Linked DNA regions of Rattus norvegicus. The protein of the gene in region 1 binds, or shares a complex with, the protein of each later gene. Links are inferred from orthologs where the notes say so. Each region holds a gene or a part of one and is shown in the gene's direction. Other genes may lie near its edges. The genes, in order: Mapk1, Dusp6, Ptpn7 and Dhps.

Region 1 (4,610 bases):
AACTCCGTTGAGTTTTTTGATTGTTTTTTTTTGTTTTGTTTTTGTTTTTGTTTGTTTGTTTTTTGCTTTTTTTGTTTTTTGGTTTTTTTTTTTTTTTTTTTGAGACTCTTGGCTATCCTGGAACTCATTCTGTAGACCAGGCTGGCCTCCCATTCTTAAGAGATCTGCCCCACTCTGCCTCACAAGTGGTACATGTGAGGCACCACACTGACTTGCTCCTTTCAGTTTTTTACCTTATTGTTTAAGGAGTTACCCCTCCGGATAGAATGTTTCAATCCTTCAGGAAAGTGTTACACAGCACCTGAATCCAAGTCCCGGAATTTCACTGTCTTTCTCCAGCGTCCCCACCCACAGCTCTTTATATTTTCCCTTGGCTTTTTATTTCTTCACAACACTTAAGTGCAAATATTGTATTTTGCCTGTCTTTTCACTCTGGAAACATGGCTGGCTCCAATGCTATAGGTATTAAGCAAATTTTCTTGAAGAAACCTCTAATTAGGGGATTCAATGTCTTGTGTTTTGGTTTCTACTTATTTATGTCTCACACTGTTAGGTGTGCGTCACCAGTAAGAAGGTAGATATACGTAGTTAGTATAAGAAAAGTTATATTTTATTATGCTGAAGGTCATCATGCAAGGTTTACACTCTAAACTCCTTACATTCCTAAGCCTGTCTTCCCAAGGCTGTTCACCTGTGTGACCTATCTTAGCTTCAGGTCAGGTCTAATCTCTAACAGAAGTCTCTGATTTGAGGGTCAGGATTCTGAGGGAGATTCTCTAGCCACAGAACAGATCAAGGTGCATCTCTCCAGATACGTAGAGCAAAGCATTGCTTTTGGTCTCTGCTTATATTTTGTCCAGTAGGCATCATGGGATTCTAGGACTATGTCATCTCCATGTCACTGGGCTCTGGGTATCAGGAGCAGCCTTAGGTACTGTAGGGTTCCTGACTAATCTGTTTTTATATGTCCAAAAGGCATCTTTTTTATTTATTATTCTCATTACAGGGTGAAAATATTTTTCTGGGTCTGGGTCATCTTTTTGGTTTCTGTCCCACTCTGACGGTCTAAGTGCATAAGAGTGCAGAATGTGGGCCACGTATTCCTAGAGGCCTGTCTGTCTCAGGGGTCCCGTGGCTGGTGTGCAGTGAGTCCTCTGGTCTCAAGTCCCTGGTCCCGCGCGAGTTCGTTCTGGACCAGGTACAGTGGTGGGACTCTGTGGGGTCATTATGCCTAAGTTCCAATCTAGCTTTCTAGAGCTACCCAGCCCTTAGCTTTCTGAACGCACGTGACGTCCCTCCCCCGCAGCCGCAGTGCTCCTGGCTTACTTCGCTGCTTCCGCCGGCCCGCGAGACTCCGCCCTCTCTGAGGGGAGAAGCCAATCATCACGCACGCCCTTGACTCCGCCCTAGCGCCCCTCGACGCGAGTCCTTCCCTCCTCCCACTCGCTGCCCGCCCGCCCGTCAGGCAGGAAGGCAGGCAGTGGTTCTACCGGCGGTTAGTTCTCTCTTCTGTGTTGTCCTCCCTCCTCGTTCCCGATCGCCGCCAGCGGCTGCTACACGGGCGGCGGCGCGGTTCCTGTGGGAAGCGCAGCACAAGTCGAGCGGTAACCGCGAAGCGTCGAGCCCAACGCGGCGGAGGCTGTGCAGCCAACATGGCGGCGGCGGCGGCGGCGGGCCCGGAGATGGTCCGCGGGCAGGTGTTCGACGTGGGGCCGCGCTACACTAATCTCTCGTACATCGGAGAAGGCGCCTACGGCATGGTTTGGTAAGTGTCTGCGCTGGTTTGCAGGCCCGGCCTCACGCGGTCATCCTGTGCCCCCTGCCTATGGCTGATCTGGACGCAGCTGCGGCCTTTCCCGCGCCTTGGCCTCGCGGTCCGCGGCGCCCCCGGACCCGTGGCTTCTCCTTGGCCCGCACTCCTGGGGCCCTGGGGCGGGGTCCCGGGGGCCCTTTCGAGGTTTAAGTGTTGCTCTGCTGCTTCCTGAGCTGACCCTTCGTTTGCTGTTGGAAGGGCATCTCAGACCGAGGCCAGGACTCGAAGACTCCCGGGCTTGGTCTCGAGCGCGTACTTTCGAGGCTTCTCCCTTGGGTCGGGAACGGAAGTGCACCATGTCCCCTAGTTCATAGCGTTATAGCCGCCGCCTTTTGACATTAGATTAAAACTAGGAATTCCATTAGATGCATGTCCGTGGTGGTGGCGGCGGCAATGGTTTTGCAAGACGGAATAATGGGCTTGTGTGCTGAGCACCAAAATATTTTTATTCTCTCTGTGTACGTGAACAGCATTCACAAAATATCTTCAGTAGAGCTAATGATGCGTTCTACCTCAGGCTTTCTAAAAAACAATGACACAGCGTTGGTTGTGGATATACTGAAATCTTGAAGTTTCAAAATGGATTTAAATATCATACCGATTGTGTTTCAGGAAGGATAAACCAGCATCACTCTTAGAATTATTAAGATGTATTTGGAGTTAGGCCTAACTCCAAATTTGACTTTAAATTACCCCGTCGTTACCCTCAAAAGTACATGTGAATGTATCCATAGGTATTAGCCCTATTTACTGTGGTCGTTTCCCTAACGTTTTAGTGTTCACTATATATACACAACCACTTACAGTACTTTCTGCTTGTGGAATGAAGTGTATTGTTTTAATTAAAGCAAGTTCATTTATCGAAGGTTTCTGAGGTAGTTAATTTTACTTGGATAGCCATCTTGAAGAAAGAGAAGACACCCTTTTTCAGATAAGGTATTGAAAGGAAGTCTTTTTCCCAAGGGTGAAGAACTAGAATCATGCTTTCTATATATAGAAAGATCCTGGTTTAAATGCTTCAGCTCCTCAGCTATGATTGCACACGCCTTTCCTTGATTTATTAATAATTTCAGAACTTCAGCATATTTTCCTGATGAACAAGTCTATTTCAGAAATGCATTCAAATTTGAATGGTCATAATTTTAGAAATGCCAAGAAAGATGTGTTTTCACCAAGTGTGTTAACTAGGTAGAATAATTAACTTTCCTTTTTAAAGGACCGGAGAATAGTTATATTCTTATGAGCAAAATGTTTCATAGTATACAATTATGAAGGTAAAAGTGAACTGGACCTGCGAGTCAAAGGGGAAATTAAATTTAGGTCACGGTTACAAGAAAGTCTTTGTAAAGGAATGGGGAAAAATTACTTTCCACATCACATCTGTCTTGCATGTATTACTGCCCTTGCACTTGCTGGTAAGTATGCCAGTAACTCTTATTATTGACACTCAAATGATTACCCACCATAGTCTCATTTATTTAAAAAAAAAAAAAGAATAAAAAAGCTTACTTTAAATAGAGACAAAAAAATTTAGGACCACCTTAATAAGATGGATTGTTTAGATCCTGTTGCTATTGACCTTTGAAGTTTCCGCTTGCTGTGCAGAATTCTTTTTAAAATTCACATTTTAGGGGTGGAGAGATGACTCAGCAGTTAAGAGCACTGGCTGCTCTGGGTTCGATTCCAATGACAGCCTAGTCTGTAATTATAGTTCCAGAAGATGAGATGTTCTCTTAAGTCATGCATTTAAGCAAGACATTCATATGCATAAAATAAATAAAACTAATTAATTTTTTAAGACAAGGTTTCTCTGTGTAATCACCCTGGCTATCCTGGAACTCAATTTGTAGATGAGGCTGGCACCTACAAATTTTAATTTTAAGAAAAATACAAATATAATTGAAATTTAAATCCAAGCATCAGCCTCTTATCTCCAGATAATGTATCTTAGTATTTATTTAATATTCTTAATTGTGTGTCATTATCATCTGATTATTGCTGAGTTTATGGCAGCTTCTCAGCTTAAGTATCCACTTGAATAGTGATCTTTAAAAGCTGGAAAGACGGGGTTGGGGATTTAGCTCAGTGGCCCTGGGTTCGGTCCCCAGCTCCGAAAAAAAGAAAAAAAAAAAAAAGCTGGAAAGACGGCATAGTGGTTGAGTACCTGCTGCTTTTGCAGGACCTAAGCTCAGATCCCTGCATCTGTGTTACGTGACACTACCACCCACCACCTACTGCACCCCTCCTTCCAAGGGCATCTACACACATGTGGTCCAACGAAGACTCACTAGGGTACACACCCTGGAAACTGATTTAAGAATAACTCTTTAAAAAAATTACTTGGGGGTTGGGGATTTAGCTCAGTGGTAGAGCGCTTGCCTAGGAAGCACAAGGCCCTGGGTTCGGTCCCCAGCTCCGAAAAAAAGACCAAAAAAAAAAAAAAAATTACTTAAGGGATTTTCAGCCGTTCTTAGCAGGATTTCCGTAAAGCAGGTCGTGGAGAATTGTGCCTATTTGTTCAAGCTCCCTTCATAATCATTATGTAGAAGACAAAAAGATAAAATGTGGGTGTGGGAGGTGTAGCAGTTAAGAGCTACAACCAGAATTCAGTTCCTAACAGCTTGTAACTTCAAGTAGTCTTGATGTCTCTGACCTCTTATGGGTTCTTCTGTGTGCACACATATGTATGTATATGAATGCACATAATTAAAAATAAAATGTTTTTAGAAGAAGACTGGGTTTTGAGTTGGGCATTTAAGAGTGGGTGTGATTTTGATAGGCAGATAATAGGAACAAG
Region 2 (4,663 bases), on another chromosome or scaffold:
CTCTTTTAGCCCACATTTCCCAAACCCCGGAAGAGGAGGGTGATTAAAAATGCAAATTGCTTTGCGGGCGACAGTAGGTAGGACCGAGCTGCGAGGCTCTGGGCTGGGGAGATCCCGTGACCTTAGACGCCCTCCGCGCCCCGGATTCGGGAAGGGCCGCAGCCAGCGCTTCCTCCTCCCGGTCGCGGCCGGACAAAGCCGGGCTCCTTTCCGTGGGACCCGAAGGGCAGACCGGATCGGGACGCGCGCCTTCCGCAGGGCCCGCCGTCGCCGCACACAGGTGGTTTTCCGTCCGGGAGGGGCGGACTCGGCACTTTTATATAACAATAGAGCTGTGCGCGCCGGGGATGCGCTCTCGTCGCCGTCGCGGCCCCCGCCGGCCACGCCTCCATCCGGCTCCGGTGCCGCGCCGCCTCCGTCCTAAATTGCCTGCGTGTGGTGCCCATGAGACTCCCAAATCCTAACTCGGAAACCAAGGGGTCCAGACAGGGACATCTCTGGCTTCTTTCCGACTCTAGGTCTCTCCCTAGGGGACAGTTCCGTGACGGCCTTACATTCGATCACGGGGTCGCCGCGTGTCCTCCCCCTCCCCCTCCCCAGAGCAGCGGTGCTGCGGCCAAAGCGCAGCGCGCAAGCGCGTTTGGAGTTGCTAGAGTGCTCCATGCGGAGCTCGGGAACCGCTGCAGCCGAGAAAGGTTAGGGGACTGGCCTCGCTGCCCACAGTAGCCAGTTCCCTCAGGCTTAAAGGTCTTGCGGAGGACTCCCCCCACGTCTCCGGGTTGCAGGGAGCGTTGGTGAGGCCCGGTGTCCCAGGCGCCTAACCTAGGCTGCCTTGCCAGACCGGTTCCTCTTAGAAGCCAAACTCTGCTTCTGACCCCAAATCGTTAAAGGAGCTCGTCTCTCCAGGCTCGATGGGTGACCGGTGGGGGTGGGGAGCAAGATCTCCGGAGCAATGGCTCAGAATGCCTCCACCCCACCGGAGCATAAGAAAAGTGTAGGGCTAGCTGACAAGGTTTTTCCTGCTCGCCCCCCCCCCCGAAAGTTGAGAAAACTCGGGATTGGGGTGCTTCTGGTTTTCTGGACAACCAAACGCTTGTTTGCTTAGCTGCTTTAAAATGTTTCAACAAAACACTAGTTTGTTTCTAGAGATGTTGGATTAGCATTTAACACTTCGTTGGGTCGCTAAAGCCCAGGCAGTTCACCAGCCCCAACACAGCCTCGGCTAAAAGGACTTCAGAACAAACAGAACTAGACTTTTAAAAGAGCCAAACAAATGCCACACACGATCTAAAGGAGGACCGGGGTGGTGGTGAGGGAGAAGGAGCGGGCTAGGATCTAGCGTTAAAGGGAATAAAAAAAGGGGTGGGGGACCCTCACGTTTTATTAAGGCTAACTTGAGATAGTAAGAGTAGCGAATAAGGGCTTTTGTGCTTGCTAATTGCACTACTGGTGCGCAAGAGTTAGACGCGAAGTGTGAACTCTCAACAGAAGGAAACACGAGACAACTTTAGTGCCCTGGTTTATGTGCCCTGCTCCTCCTCCACCGCCGCCTCCTCTTCTTTCTCCTTCCTCCCGCCGAGCCCGCAGTTGCAGCTTGTTTGCACTGGGGCTTATCCGGAGCGGAAATTCCTTTCCGTTTTTGTGAATGACAAACTCATTAACAATTCATCAACACAACCTGTTCCAGCCGGCCCGTCCCCACGGCAACAGCCCCTTCCGCAGCGCGCTCATTGGCTGGCCGAGAGAATGTATCCATTGAGACGCTGGCTGTTTGTATCCATTGAGGAGCTGCCTGGCACAGGGGGTGTGCTCTCGCGGAGTCCTAGGGACTGCGAGCAAACCCAGTCTTGAATAATCCGGCGAGAAACACGGGGTTGGATCTGAGGTGCAGCCTCAGAGGGATTAGGAGCTGCTAGACTTTTTTCTTTTTTCCTTTTTCTCCTCTCAGTGGCACGGAGTCCGAATTAATTGGATTTCATTCACTGGGTAGGAACAAAACTGGGCACTTTCATTCAGAGAGATTCATTGACTCTGAGAGTGATCTGGTGCAGAGGGACCACCGGCTTGGCTTCTGTCGCCTTCCCTAACCGCTAGCTTCGGCTTGGGAAAGGCCGAATCAAACCCGGCTCCGAGAGCCGGAGCTTCTCACGGCGTGCTTGGCCTATGCCTGCCTCGAGGGGCGTCTGCTAGGCACCCCGCCTTCTCCTGCAGCTCGACCCCCATGATAGATACGCTCAGACCCGTGCCCTTCGCGTCGGAAATGGCGATCAGCAAGACGGTGGCGTGGCTCAACGAGCAGCTGGAGCTGGGCAACGAACAGCTGCTGCTGATGGACTGCCGACCGCAGGAGCTGTACGAGTCGTCGCACATCGAATCTGCCATCAACGTGGCCATCCCGGGCATCATGCTGCGGCGTCTGCAGAAGGGCAACCTGCCGGTGCGCGCGCTATTCACGCGCTGCGAGGACCGGGACCGCTTTACCAGGCGCTGCGGCACCGACACCGTGGTGCTCTACGACGAGAACAGCAGCGACTGGAATGAGAACACAGGTGGAGAGTCGGTCCTCGGGCTGCTGCTCAAGAAACTCAAAGACGAGGGCTGCCGGGCGTTCTACCTTGAAGGTATGTTGTGCGCCCCGGCGCTCGGAGCTAGGGCTGCAGGCTGGGGAACTGCGGGCGAGGTAGCGATCGCCTCTCGCATTGCGCTTAAGGGAGCTGGGCCAGCGTGGTAGCTTCTTTTTTAAGGGTTCTTTATAATCCGGCACCTCCACCTTCCTCTCGCTTTCTTCTGGGTTGGTTTAGACTTAAGATTCAGAAGAGCTGGAAATGTAGTTCAGGGTGCAGCTTGACACCTCCTAGCTCCTCGAAATACTAAGTAATTTTGTGCATTTCCGGAATCAGAAGAATAAACGCTCCCTGGGTAGGCAGATGGTTGTATTCTTAAAGATGCACATTGAAGTGTGTTTTTACTACTGCAGTGGGGTTCATAGGTCGCCTGACCGTAGTGTCTCCTGCACCTCCTGTGCCTCTCACAAGCTGAAAATTACTACAGCTTCTCAGGTTACAAGAACGCTTTTCTTGTTTCTGGCAGGTGGCTTCAGTAAGTTCCAGGCCGAGTTCGCCCTGCACTGCGAGACCAATCTAGACGGCTCGTGCAGCAGCAGCTCCCCGCCCTTGCCAGTGCTGGGACTCGGGGGCCTGAGGATCAGCTCCGACTCTTCCTCGGACATTGAGTCTGACCTTGACCGAGACCCCAATAGTGCAACGGACTCCGATGGCAGCCCGCTGTCCAACAGCCAGCCTTCCTTCCCGGTGGAGATTTTGCCCTTCCTTTACCTGGGCTGTGCCAAGGACTCTACTAACTTGGACGTGTTGGAAGAGTTTGGCATCAAGTACATCTTGAACGTCACCCCCAATCTGCCCAATCTGTTTGAGAATGCAGGGGAGTTCAAGTACAAGCAAATTCCTATCTCTGATCACTGGAGCCAAAACCTGTCCCAGTTTTTCCCTGAGGCCATTTCTTTCATAGGTGAGACTAATTTTCAGTCATTCATGAGTTGAAGATGTTAATCTGTTTTCCTGCAAGCTATTTGGGGAGTGGGGGTTGGGGGTGGAGAGACTGCAGGTCTCTACTGTTCCAAGAGTGTTAATTCTGGTTTGCCTTCTGGCTGAAGGGGAAACAGGGCTTGTTGACATTAGCAGATCAGGGGACTATTTGAACCGTTTAATTCAGTACTTTTAAAAGGGGGCTGTTCCAATCAGCCACATTTTCCTTGTCTCTAGACAGGGAGTGAGTGGAGAGCAAATTAGCACTCACTTGCTGACAATCCTAGTGTTGCTTTATGATTTAAAAAGAAGACCCAGGAGTTATTTTTAGGACACCCAAGTTAGTTGTTGGAAAGCAGTTTGAATACTAGACGTTACCTAGCTGAATGATACTGCAGTGTACTGGTTACTGTGCCTCTGGGTAACCTGATCCCAGCAGGAAGAACCGTGGGCTGGGACTAAGAGAAGCGAATCTCCAGGCATTGTAGTGCATTTCCTATTACAAAGGAACTCATTTTCAGGCCGTGTAGACATCCTGTTCCTCCTAATGGGCTGTCCCCTGTGACTTCCCTCTCTCTCTTAAAATGCCTGAATACCCCCATTGTTAGCAGCACAACAGTTGGAGAATAATTTAATAGACCCTTGCTGTCTGCTTGTCTGTATGAGAGGCATTCAGGGCCGTAATGCAGGGTTTCTGGTATTCACAAGCTGAGGCAAAAAAGAATGCACACATTAAGGAGTTTTTTGTTGTTAGAAACTTAATACAAAAGCCCCCTTTACAGGAAATATCTAAAATATGCGATTGTGTTCAGTGTGCATGTTCATTTCTCATTTATACATTTTCTGCTGCCTTAGGGGCTGAACTGCCACACACAATTGTTTTGTTTTGTTTTACTATCCCTTCTTAATTCAGACTTAGGGCTGAGCATTTGCAGCAAAGACTGCTTTTTCAGTCTAGTGAAACCTTGCCTTTCTTTTTTGTGTTCACAGATGAAGCCCGAGGCAAAAACTGTGGTGTCCTGGTGCATTGCTTGGCGGGCATCAGCCGCTCCGTCACGGTGACAGTGGCTTACCTTATGCAGAAGCTCAACTTGTCCATGAACGATGCTTATGACATT
Region 3 (4,076 bases), on another chromosome or scaffold:
AAGCTTACTGTGGCTGCACACCCGTGTGGTGTGAACTCACACAGACAGACCCGGGCCTAGCACCTCCAACTTTTCCTAGGCAGGCTTGAGACCTGGAGCCTAGTCCAGTGGCTTCCAGAACTGTGGTCTGAATTCAGCCCAGCACATGGGTCCTACCCTGTGCTGAGACTCCAGGCTCACTGCCTGCTGGAATAGACCAGGTTCTGTGAGCACTTGTCAATGTGAGTTTGATAGCCTTTGGCCTTGGCCTAATTCTAGCAAGCTCTTACAGCCATCAAAGAGGGGGAGCCAGACTCTTCATCCCCCATCCGGTTTGATTGGGGAAGGACCCACACCTTTGGAGAGCCAGGCCAATATCCCTTGTGGTTGAGCGATAGCTTAGACAATGTATTCATCTAACGCTTGTATTCGTAATCAGAAAGACATTTTTCCTTTGCAGAATCTCTTCCCCTTCCTATCAGTTCTGTCCTATTTTATACCCTCGCTGATCTCAAGGCCAAAGCATGATAATCTGCCGGTCAGTGTCTGCAGCTCTATGCTGCTGCACACCAACATCACTAGTCCATCTTTCCACTTCGATTACATCACTTTCCAGCTCAAAAACATCGTGGCTCCCTGTTGTCATGGCATAGTGTATTTTATTGCACACAGCTATTATGTTACCTGTCTGTAAAATAATACGGTTGAATATCTGCTGTCCACAAAGTACTGACTACAGAGTGAGGACACGCTCCCCCTCTGACTCTGTTACAATCTACACTCATTGGTCGCCTTCTGACCTTTCACCTTTATTGATCTTCACTTCCTAGATCCCCAGAGCCGTGTCTGTCTTGGCCGGGCACACAGCCAGGAGGACAGCGACTACATCAATGCCAATTACATCCGGGTGAGTGGCTGGCTGCTGCAGCTGGGCGGACTGCTTTAAACACGAAAATACCACACGAGACCCTCTGTGATCCATCTGTGACTGGGCTACAGGGCCCGTACTTCCTTCCTTGCTCCAACTCCCCCCTTTCTGCTGTAGATCTCTCTCTGCTAGACTTGGGGAGCGGGAAAAGAGACACATACTGAGCGATCCTCAAGATATCGGTCTAGAAAAGATGTCAAAATTTCCAAACCACCTTAACCTACCCTGTTACCCTATTCTTGACAACCCTCTAAACTTGGCAGTAAGTTGACCTTAAGACTGAGCCTAGTCACTGGTTTCTTAAAGACTAATGGCTTCTACAGGCTGCACAAAGCCAGCTCAAGTGGGAATTTCTCCATCTCCTATTACCTCCTCTCCCACACTCGTTCTCTGCCCCCACACCCGACCCCTACAAATACTGCCTCCTTTGTGGAGACTGATTGATGTCCAGTTAATAGCGACCTCAAAGCAAGGCAGACCATGCTATCCCAACTTCTTACCGTGTTTGGTGGGTGGATGTAAAACCAGTGCCCCCTTGTGGCCAAATGTGGTAGGACAGTAGTCTGGGTGCTGAGGAGGAAAGTCAGACAGAAAGTATAATAGATAGGCAGTCCTCTGTTTGCCAGCGGGGTCCAGACAAACAGTGAGATGCATGGATGATAGAAGGATGATGGAAGCAAAGGATGATGGGATGGAGGGGGAGGGGAACAGATTAGGTAGAGTACGCTGGATTCTGGTGCCAAATGTGTGCAAGTAATTCGTGAAATGTGAAACGTTCATTTACAAATATTGAGGACCGTCCTATCTTGCCCTAGAAGAAAGCAGCAGAAGATGGGAACAAACGTGCACACGGTGCCTGCTGTGTGAGAGACTGCCAATATATTTTATTGATTTTAATTGACACTGTGTTATATAATTACTAGGTACCGTCTACTGCTTAGGGAAACTGGGTCAAGAATGTGCCTCTGACCACTTAGCTAGGAAACAGAAGGGCAGGAATTTGAACTCAGGTGTTCCCTCATCGTGGGTCCCAAGTCCTCCTCCAGCGTGCGGCTTCCGATGTGTGTGTCTGTAGATGAGTGTATGTAAGTGTTTACACTCACTGGCTTTAGCCTGACCCCAGCCCCTGTGGACTCACAGCATCTTTGTCCTCCTGTGCCTTGGCTCCCCAGGGCTATGATGGAAAGGAGAAGGTCTACATTGCTACCCAGGGCCCCATGCCCAACACTGTAGCAGACTTCTGGGAGATGGTGTGGCAGGAAGATGTATCCCTCATTGTCATGCTCACCCAGCTCCGAGAGGGCAAGGAGGTAAGAGGTAGGGTCATCTGGAAAGGGTCTCTACCCTACCCTGCCACAGCACCCGCACTCAGCAGACAAGAGGCCTCAATGGCAGCCCTGACAGGCCCTATGCTGTACCTTTCAGGAACATACCCCATGGAAGCTGTGGGCGGGGTGACTATCCAATTGAGGCTTGGGAGAGCTAGGCTCTGGTCACTGACCTGGGTCATGGGCTAAGATATGAGGACAGGATACTAGGCCTCTCTGCTGCCCCAGCCCTGCGCCACTGATGGGCCCTCCCACTCTGACTCCCAGCTCCCTCCCTTCTAGAAATGTGTACACTACTGGCCCACAGAAGAGGAAGCCTATGGGCCCTTCCAGATCCGCATCCAGGGCATGAAAGAGCACCCAGAATATACTGTGAGGCACCTCACCATTCAGGTATCTCCCACAGACACTGGGACAGACCAATGGGAGGTCTGGGCCACCCTAGCATCTCTGAAAGGCAGGCTCCACCTTTCCTAAATTTACTAAATTCACCAAGTTTACTAATTTAAACCTTGATCTCACATTTAAATGATGTTACGTTTTAAAGAGAGAGAGAGAATAGGTTGGGGATTTAGCTCAGTGGTAGAGCGTTTGCCTAGCAAGTGCAAGACCCTGGGTTCGGTCCCCAGATCCGAAAAAAAGGAAAAAGGGAGAGAGAGAGAGAGAGAGAGAGAGAATGAAGAAAAAAGAAAAAAAAACTGGGCATGGTGGTACACGCCTTTAATCCCAGCACTTTCGAGGCAGAAGACAGGTGGATCCCTGAGCTTGAGGACTGCCTGGTCTACAGAGTGAGTCCCAGGACAGCTAGGGATACACAGAGAAACCTTGTCTCTGAAAAACTAAAAAGAAACTAGAGGGGGTGGGGGATGAGGGGGGGGGAGTGGGAGAGAGAACAAGAATGAGAGTGAGAGGGGCTGGGGATTTAGCTCAGTGGTAGAGCGCTTACCTAGGAAGCGCAAGGCCCTGGGTTCAGTCCCCAGCTCCGAAAAAAAGAACCAAAAAAAAAAAAAAAAAAAAAAGAATGAGAGTGAGAGAGAACAAGAATGAGAATGAGAGAGAAAGGTACAACCCTCAGGGACACCTCTAATTAAATAGGGATGCACCAGCTAACAAAATAGGGACCATTGGAAGCATGTTCTCCCCATGCTAGATATCTAGGCCCCAGGAGACTAGAGAGACCCAGGAGAATGCTGGAATGGTAAGGAGAGGTCAAAGAGATGTGCCAGTACACGGGGATGTACTTTAAAAATGCTTTTGAGGGGACAGAGAGGGCTCAGTGGATAAAGACTCTTGCTGCCAAGTCTGATGACCTGAGTTCGATCCCGGAACCCACGTGATGGGAGAAGGGAACTGACTGGAACAACATAGCAAGATTCCTATCTAGAGAGGAGGAAGAGAGGACATGAGGAAGGAGGAAGGGTTATCTGTTAAGGTGCACATTCTTATACTTCCAAATGATTTCTTTATCAGTTTGCTGTTCCTCAAGCATCCTGGGAGGCAGACAAAAAGATATCACTGTGCCCACTTCCTGGGGAAGAAAAGGAGATTAATGCACTTATCCACAGTCCCGAGATAGATAGATAGAGGCACGCCAAGACTTGAGCCTAGGTGAAGCCGAACAGCAAAGTAGCCAGGAGAATCACCCCTGCCTGCTCTGTGCCGATCGGATTGATAGATCGATCACCAGCACCCACACCCTCATCCTGCTTCTCGGGCCTTATTCTCCTGTTTTCTCATACCCCAGCACCAACAGGAATGCCGGTCAGTGAAACACATCCTCTTCTCAGCCTGGCCAGACCACCAGACGCCAGAATCAGCCGGGCCCCTGCTGCGCCTGGTGG
Region 4 (4,652 bases), on another chromosome or scaffold:
TACATAGTGACACTGTCTGAAAAAAATTTATGTGCGTTGAGGGGAGGGGAGTTGCATGTGAATTGGGTCAGAGGTCATCTTTCTGGAAACTGTTCTACCAGGCCAGTCTTCGAGATTGAACTCAGGTGTCCAGGCCTCCTGAGCAAGGGCTTTACCCACTGAGCCATGGTCTTACTGGCCTGGAGGTCAACTTCTTGCTGGGTCCCCAGCTGCTCTTTCCTCTGCTTGTAAATCATGGTGACTGAGGTTTATCTGAGCATATCGGCCATCATTCTCTGACTCAGTGCAGTGTGGCTACCTTCACGGAACCTGTTCCCTACAGCAGTAGGTGTCATCAGACTCTCACTTGGGATTCAAGTCCTTTTGCCCTCCTGCATACTACCCATTGCAGATCTCCCTGCAGCCAGATGTGGCATTTGGGCACTGCTAGCCTATAGAGGAGGTTAAACGAAGGGGAGACCTTTATCTGTGCATCTTTGGGGAAATAGTGTCTCTGATATTTTTATAACAGGAATTTTCTGGGTCTTCTGGCCTCAGTCAAAACATCATGTGTTTGGCAGTTTTCTCCAGTCACCTTTTCCCTCAGCTCTGGTTACCAATTCCTCCAACCCACCTTCACACTTAACAGAGTGTGTGTGTTTTCTAGGCCAGAGGACAACCTCAGATGTCACTCTCATTCACCTGGTCCCTAAACCTGTGTGTATGAGCTTGTGCACGCATGGCATGCTTGTGGAGGTCAGACAATAATGTAAACAGGTCCAGACTCTTCTATCATGGGCCTTTGGCTACTGAGCCATTCTTCAGGTCCCATCCCCAAGGATCTACTGGTCTCTGCTTACCCAGAGCTATTACTGGTATTGCCAACCCCCTACCCCTCTTGAGTTCTGGCAATTAAACACACATATTCAATCCACACTCTTGCTTTTTTGCAAAGCAAGGACTGTACAGACAGCTATTTCCCTAGCCATGCCCGTCCCTTTTGTTGAGAAAGGGTCTTGCTTTCAATAGTTCAGGCTGGCCTGGAACTCGAGATTCTTTTGCCTCCACCTCCTGATTGCTGGTTTAGCCACCTAATGGTTTCCTGTTCATCAGACTATAGTCATCAGGAGGGCAGAGTCCATTGCTAAATCGCAGCGCCCAGCAGAGAGCACTATTTCTAGTGTAGATTACACAAACTGTAGAATGAGGGTGCCCCTGTCCTAGGTTCAGTGTATCATTAAAGGGGACGCATGAGAAAAGATTCTCAACAAACTTCTTTCGGCAAAAAGATGGTGGTCATCCCTGTCTCCCCAGAGGCCTATGATCCAGTGAAAATTGAACTATGGTTGTAGGGGGAAAAGAAGTTTGTAGCGACTCGAGGAAGCACCGAAAGAAAACACTCCCATTTGACAAAAGTCTGCAACTAACTTGTCCAAGGGCTCCGTCCTAGAAACAATCACCTCGCTCATGGGGGGACAAGAATATTTGGACAGACAGTTTGCAAATCAGGCACTTTTATCTACTTGAAGCTGAATCTGCCTACAAGGAATAACAAACAGCTCCTGGACCACATGTACGGAACACGGGAATAAAATGGCTGCTACCAGGCCCGCAGGCGCTGCCAGGGCCATGTGACTCAAGTAGCTTCCGGTACCCCTCCCCCGCCCCCGAGTCGCATTTCCTGGGCTCCGGCGGACCAAGCTGAAGGATTTGGCGGGTTCCAGGGCACCGAGACTGCTGTGACCAGAGAACGGCCGAGAGCGCATGGAGGGGACCCCGTCGGGGGCGGCGCCCTCCTCGGCGCTGGCCGCTGTGCTCAAGCACAGCTCAGCGTTGCCGCCCGAGAGCGCCCAGGTCCAAGGTTACGACTTCAACCGCGGGGTAGATTACCACGCGCTTCTGGAAGCCTACGGCACCACCGGCTTCCAGGCCACCAACTTCGGGCGCGCGGTGCAGCAAGTCAACGCCATGGTGAGGCGCCGGGCGACCCGGGTGGGAGGCGGGGCCGCTCCGTCCGCGTGAGTGCCGGGGAGAGGCGGAGTCCTGGTTAACTAGTGTTCCGCGATGGGAGGAGCTTGGGGTTAAAATCAAAACGGGCTTGTAGGAGGAGCTTAACGCTGGGAGAGCCCTGGATTCGCTTTTCCCACTGGAAGGAGTCCTGAAGAGAAGACACTGTGTTGTTCTTAAAAGGGAACAAACCCCAAGTGACAGACCAGGACCTGGAATGGGAGGGTTAGGGTCTGCACAGGGGTTGTGCTTTGGTTTTGTAGTAGTCTCCCTGAGTGCAATCAACGTCTGGAATCCAATTCATGTGGGGTTCCTCCACTGAGGTTTGGAGTTTTAGTGCAACTTTACTGTGCCCCTATGCCCAGATTGAGAAGAAGCTGGAACCACTGGCAGTAGATGAAGATCATCACGAAGACCTGACTCAGAGCCGCCGCCCACTCACAGGCTGCACCATTTTCTTGGGCTATACGTCCAACCTCATCAGTTCTGGCATCCGGGAGACCATTCGCTACCTCGTGCAGCACAATATGGTGGGTCCACGTTAGATCAGTGGCCCCAGCCTCTCTGGGCCAGTAGACAAAAGGGTTATTGTTCATTTAAGAAACATGAAGAGGCTCAGAGATTAAGAGTATTTGCTGTTCTGTGAAAGATTTGGGTTTGGTTTCCAGCAACCACCTGGTGACTCACAACCATCTGTAATGGGGTCTTCTGTGTGTCTGAAGAGAGGGAGAGTGTATTCACATACATAAAATAAATCTTAAAGGGTGTGAGGAAATGGAGTATTGCTTTTAGACATACTGGCAGTTTCTTCCTTCCTTCCTTCCTTCCTTCCTTCCTTCCTTCCTTCCTTCCTTCCTTTGTATATGAGCACACTGTTACTGTCTTCATGTACACCAGAAGAGAGCATCAGATCCCATTACAGATGGTTGTGAGCCACCATGTGGTTGCTGGGAATTGAACTCAGGACCTCTGGAAGAGCAGTCAGTGCTCTTAACTGCTGAGCCATCTCTCTAGACCCATACTGGCAGTTCTTAGACTTCAGCCTCCTTTCTGAGTGCTGGGATCACAAGAGTGTGCCACGTTTTCTGGGTCTGCTTTAGGCTTGAGTTGGTTTTGTCATAGAGCTCATGCTTTGGGTCTGGATGAGCTCAGGCCAATGTTAGGGGCACTACTTTGAAGAAGGGTCTGTGTTGTTGCTGGTGACCACAGGTGGATGTACTGGTGACCACTGCTGGAGGGGTGGAAGAAGATCTCATCAAGTGCCTGGCACCCACATATCTGGGCGAGTTCAGCCTCAGGGGGAAGGAGCTCCGGGAGAATGGGATCAACAGGTGAGGCTCTGAGTAGTGGTAGGAGCAGGGAAGCCGCGTTGAGGGTCCCAGTGTCTGATGCCCTCATGGATCCCATTTCTAGGATCGGGAACCTGCTGGTGCCAAATGACAATTATTGCAAGTTTGAGGACTGGCTCATGCCCATCCTAGACCAGATGGTGCAGGAGCAGAATACAGAGGTAGGGCTGGAAGGGCTCAGGTGGACCTGCATAGTTGAGTCAGAAGACATGGGCTAATACTGATATTCTCCCCCTTGTTAGGGTGTGAAGTGGACACCTTCCAAGATGATCTCCCGGCTTGGGAAGGAGATCAACAACCCAGAGTCTGTGTATTATTGGGCCCATAAGGTGGGTTGGGTGGGGACAGTATTCTTGGGGACAGTACTTAGGCTTTGACTTGCAATGACTTGTTTGACTTAGTAGCCACCTAAAAGTCTCAGTAATCATTCTTGGTCTTCCCAGAGTTAGACGAGGAATGTCGAACAGAGAGGCTAGGCGTCACTTGACTGCAGGGTTCTCCTAGCTATGCCCCTACACTCCTGGGACTCGGTGTAGTGCTTTAGAAGTCGGTGGGGCCTGACCCAGGGTACCATGTGCCCAGGGACAGTGCAGCTCAAGAGTCTGGACAATAAGACACTGCTCAGTGTGCCAGTACCTTCTTCAAGCCATGTGTGGTTTTTCCTCACGTCTGCATCCACATGCAAAGCAGAGGGTCATGTGCACCAGAGAAATCAAGCAGCCTACTCAGGTCGGGAGGGATGCCACTGGGTTGGGCATCAGTTTTGCTGGGGTATGAGGTGTAGCTGCTAACTGGTCCTATCTCCACCAGAACCACATACCTGTGCTGAGTCCTGCACTCACAGACGGCTCACTGGGTGACATGATCTTTTTCCATTCCTATAAAAACCCAGGCTTGGTCCTGGACATCGTTGAAGGTGAGGTGCTAAGGCCCTGGGAGAAGGGTGAGAAAAGCCCACCGAGTCCAAGGCCTGACCTCTGCCCTCTCTCCCAGACCTGCGGCTCATCAACATGCAGGCCATTTTCGCCAAGCGCACTGGGATGATCATCCTGGGTGGAGGCGTGGTCAAGCACCACATCGCCAATGCTAACCTCATGGTGAGTGGAGTGGCTCTTGGCAGCCATCCCCACCCTCTGCTCTGAGAGATGGTGGTATTAGATGTGCACTACAGCAGTGCACTCGATGGGCCAGAGTCCCTGTCCTCTTTGGAGTTATGTTGGGGTGAGGCAGGTCAGACAGCCATAAGTGACATGCATGTGAGGACTAAGTAATGTCAGTCAGGCAAGGTGACTGCTTGGGAGACTGAGGCAGGAGGAA

The links.
Region 2: the proteins of Mapk1 (region 1) and Dusp6 are in contact, whole or in part, in a crystal structure (PDB 2FYS), measured with the Rattus norvegicus proteins. Residues at the interface, in NP_446294.1 of Rattus norvegicus: Glu79, Glu107, Thr108, Leu113, Gln117, Leu119, Asp122, His123, Tyr126, Phe127, Gln130, Thr157, Thr158, Cys159, Asp160, Tyr314, Asp316, Asp319; in NP_446335.1 of Rattus norvegicus: Arg64 (codon at 2,411), Arg65 (codon at 2,414), Leu66 (codon at 2,417), Gln67 (codon at 2,420), Lys68 (codon at 2,423), Gly69 (codon at 2,426), Asn70 (codon at 2,429), Leu71 (codon at 2,432), Pro72 (codon at 2,435), Val73 (codon at 2,438), Arg74 (codon at 2,441).
Region 3: the proteins of Mapk1 (region 1) and Ptpn7 are in contact, whole or in part, in a crystal structure (PDB 3D42), measured with the Homo sapiens proteins. The link is inferred for Rattus norvegicus from reciprocal best matches to the Homo sapiens genes MAPK1 and PTPN7. Residues at the interface, in NP_002736.3 of Homo sapiens: Thr185, Glu186, Tyr187, Val188; in NP_001351807.1 of Homo sapiens: Arg124, Tyr125, Lys126, Ile128, Asp257, His258, Ser292, Ala293, Gly294, Ile295, Gly296, Arg297, Gln335.
Region 4: the proteins of Mapk1 (region 1) and Dhps are in contact, whole or in part, in a cryo-EM structure (PDB 8PVU), measured with the Homo sapiens proteins. The link is inferred for Rattus norvegicus from reciprocal best matches to the Homo sapiens genes MAPK1 and DHPS. Residues at the interface, in NP_002736.3 of Homo sapiens: Tyr113, Tyr187, Ala189, Thr190, Arg191, Trp192, Arg225, Lys231, His232, Tyr233, Leu234, His239, Lys259; in NP_001921.1 of Homo sapiens: Arg159, Glu160, Asn161, Asn164, Asn173, Glu174, Tyr176, Cys177, Glu180, Asp181, Met184, Asp188, Asp243, Phe247, Tyr250.

The regions. Positions count from the first base shown.
Region 1 is NC_086029.1:97,524,654-97,529,263, reverse strand, and holds the start of Mapk1 (mitogen-activated protein kinase 1), read left to right. Parts: upstream 1-1,438; 5' UTR 1,439-1,652; coding exon 1,653-1,765; intron 1,766-4,610. UniProt on the Homo sapiens protein: Serine/threonine kinase which acts as an essential component of the MAP kinase signal transduction pathway. MAPK1/ERK2 and MAPK3/ERK1 are the 2 MAPKs which play an important role in the MAPK/ERK cascade.
Region 2 is NC_086025.1:35,977,816-35,982,478, forward strand, and holds the start of Dusp6 (dual specificity protein phosphatase 6), read left to right. Parts: upstream 1-1,788; 5' UTR 1,789-2,221; coding exon 2,222-2,621; intron 2,622-3,090; coding exon 3,091-3,528; intron 3,529-4,535; coding exon 4,536-4,663. UniProt on the Homo sapiens protein: Dual specificity protein phosphatase, which mediates dephosphorylation and inactivation of MAP kinases. Has a specificity for the ERK family. Plays an important role in alleviating chronic postoperative pain.
Region 3 is NC_086031.1:49,126,314-49,130,389, forward strand, and holds part of Ptpn7 (tyrosine-protein phosphatase non-receptor type 7), read left to right. Parts: intron 1-809; coding exon 810-886; intron 887-2,079; coding exon 2,080-2,217; intron 2,218-2,517; coding exon 2,518-2,628; intron 2,629-3,979; coding exon 3,980-4,076. UniProt on the Homo sapiens protein: Protein phosphatase that acts preferentially on tyrosine-phosphorylated MAPK1. Plays a role in the regulation of T and B-lymphocyte development and signal transduction.
Region 4 is NC_086037.1:39,988,436-39,993,087, reverse strand, and holds the start of Dhps (deoxyhypusine synthase), read left to right. Parts: upstream 1-1,669; 5' UTR 1,670-1,743; coding exon 1,744-1,950; intron 1,951-2,351; coding exon 2,352-2,516; intron 2,517-3,195; coding exon 3,196-3,317; intron 3,318-3,399; coding exon 3,400-3,496; intron 3,497-3,577; coding exon 3,578-3,664; intron 3,665-4,145; coding exon 4,146-4,251; intron 4,252-4,328; coding exon 4,329-4,432; intron 4,433-4,652. UniProt on the Homo sapiens protein: Catalyzes the NAD-dependent oxidative cleavage of spermidine and the subsequent transfer of the butylamine moiety of spermidine to the epsilon-amino group of a critical lysine residue of the eIF-5A precursor protein to form the intermediate deoxyhypusine residue.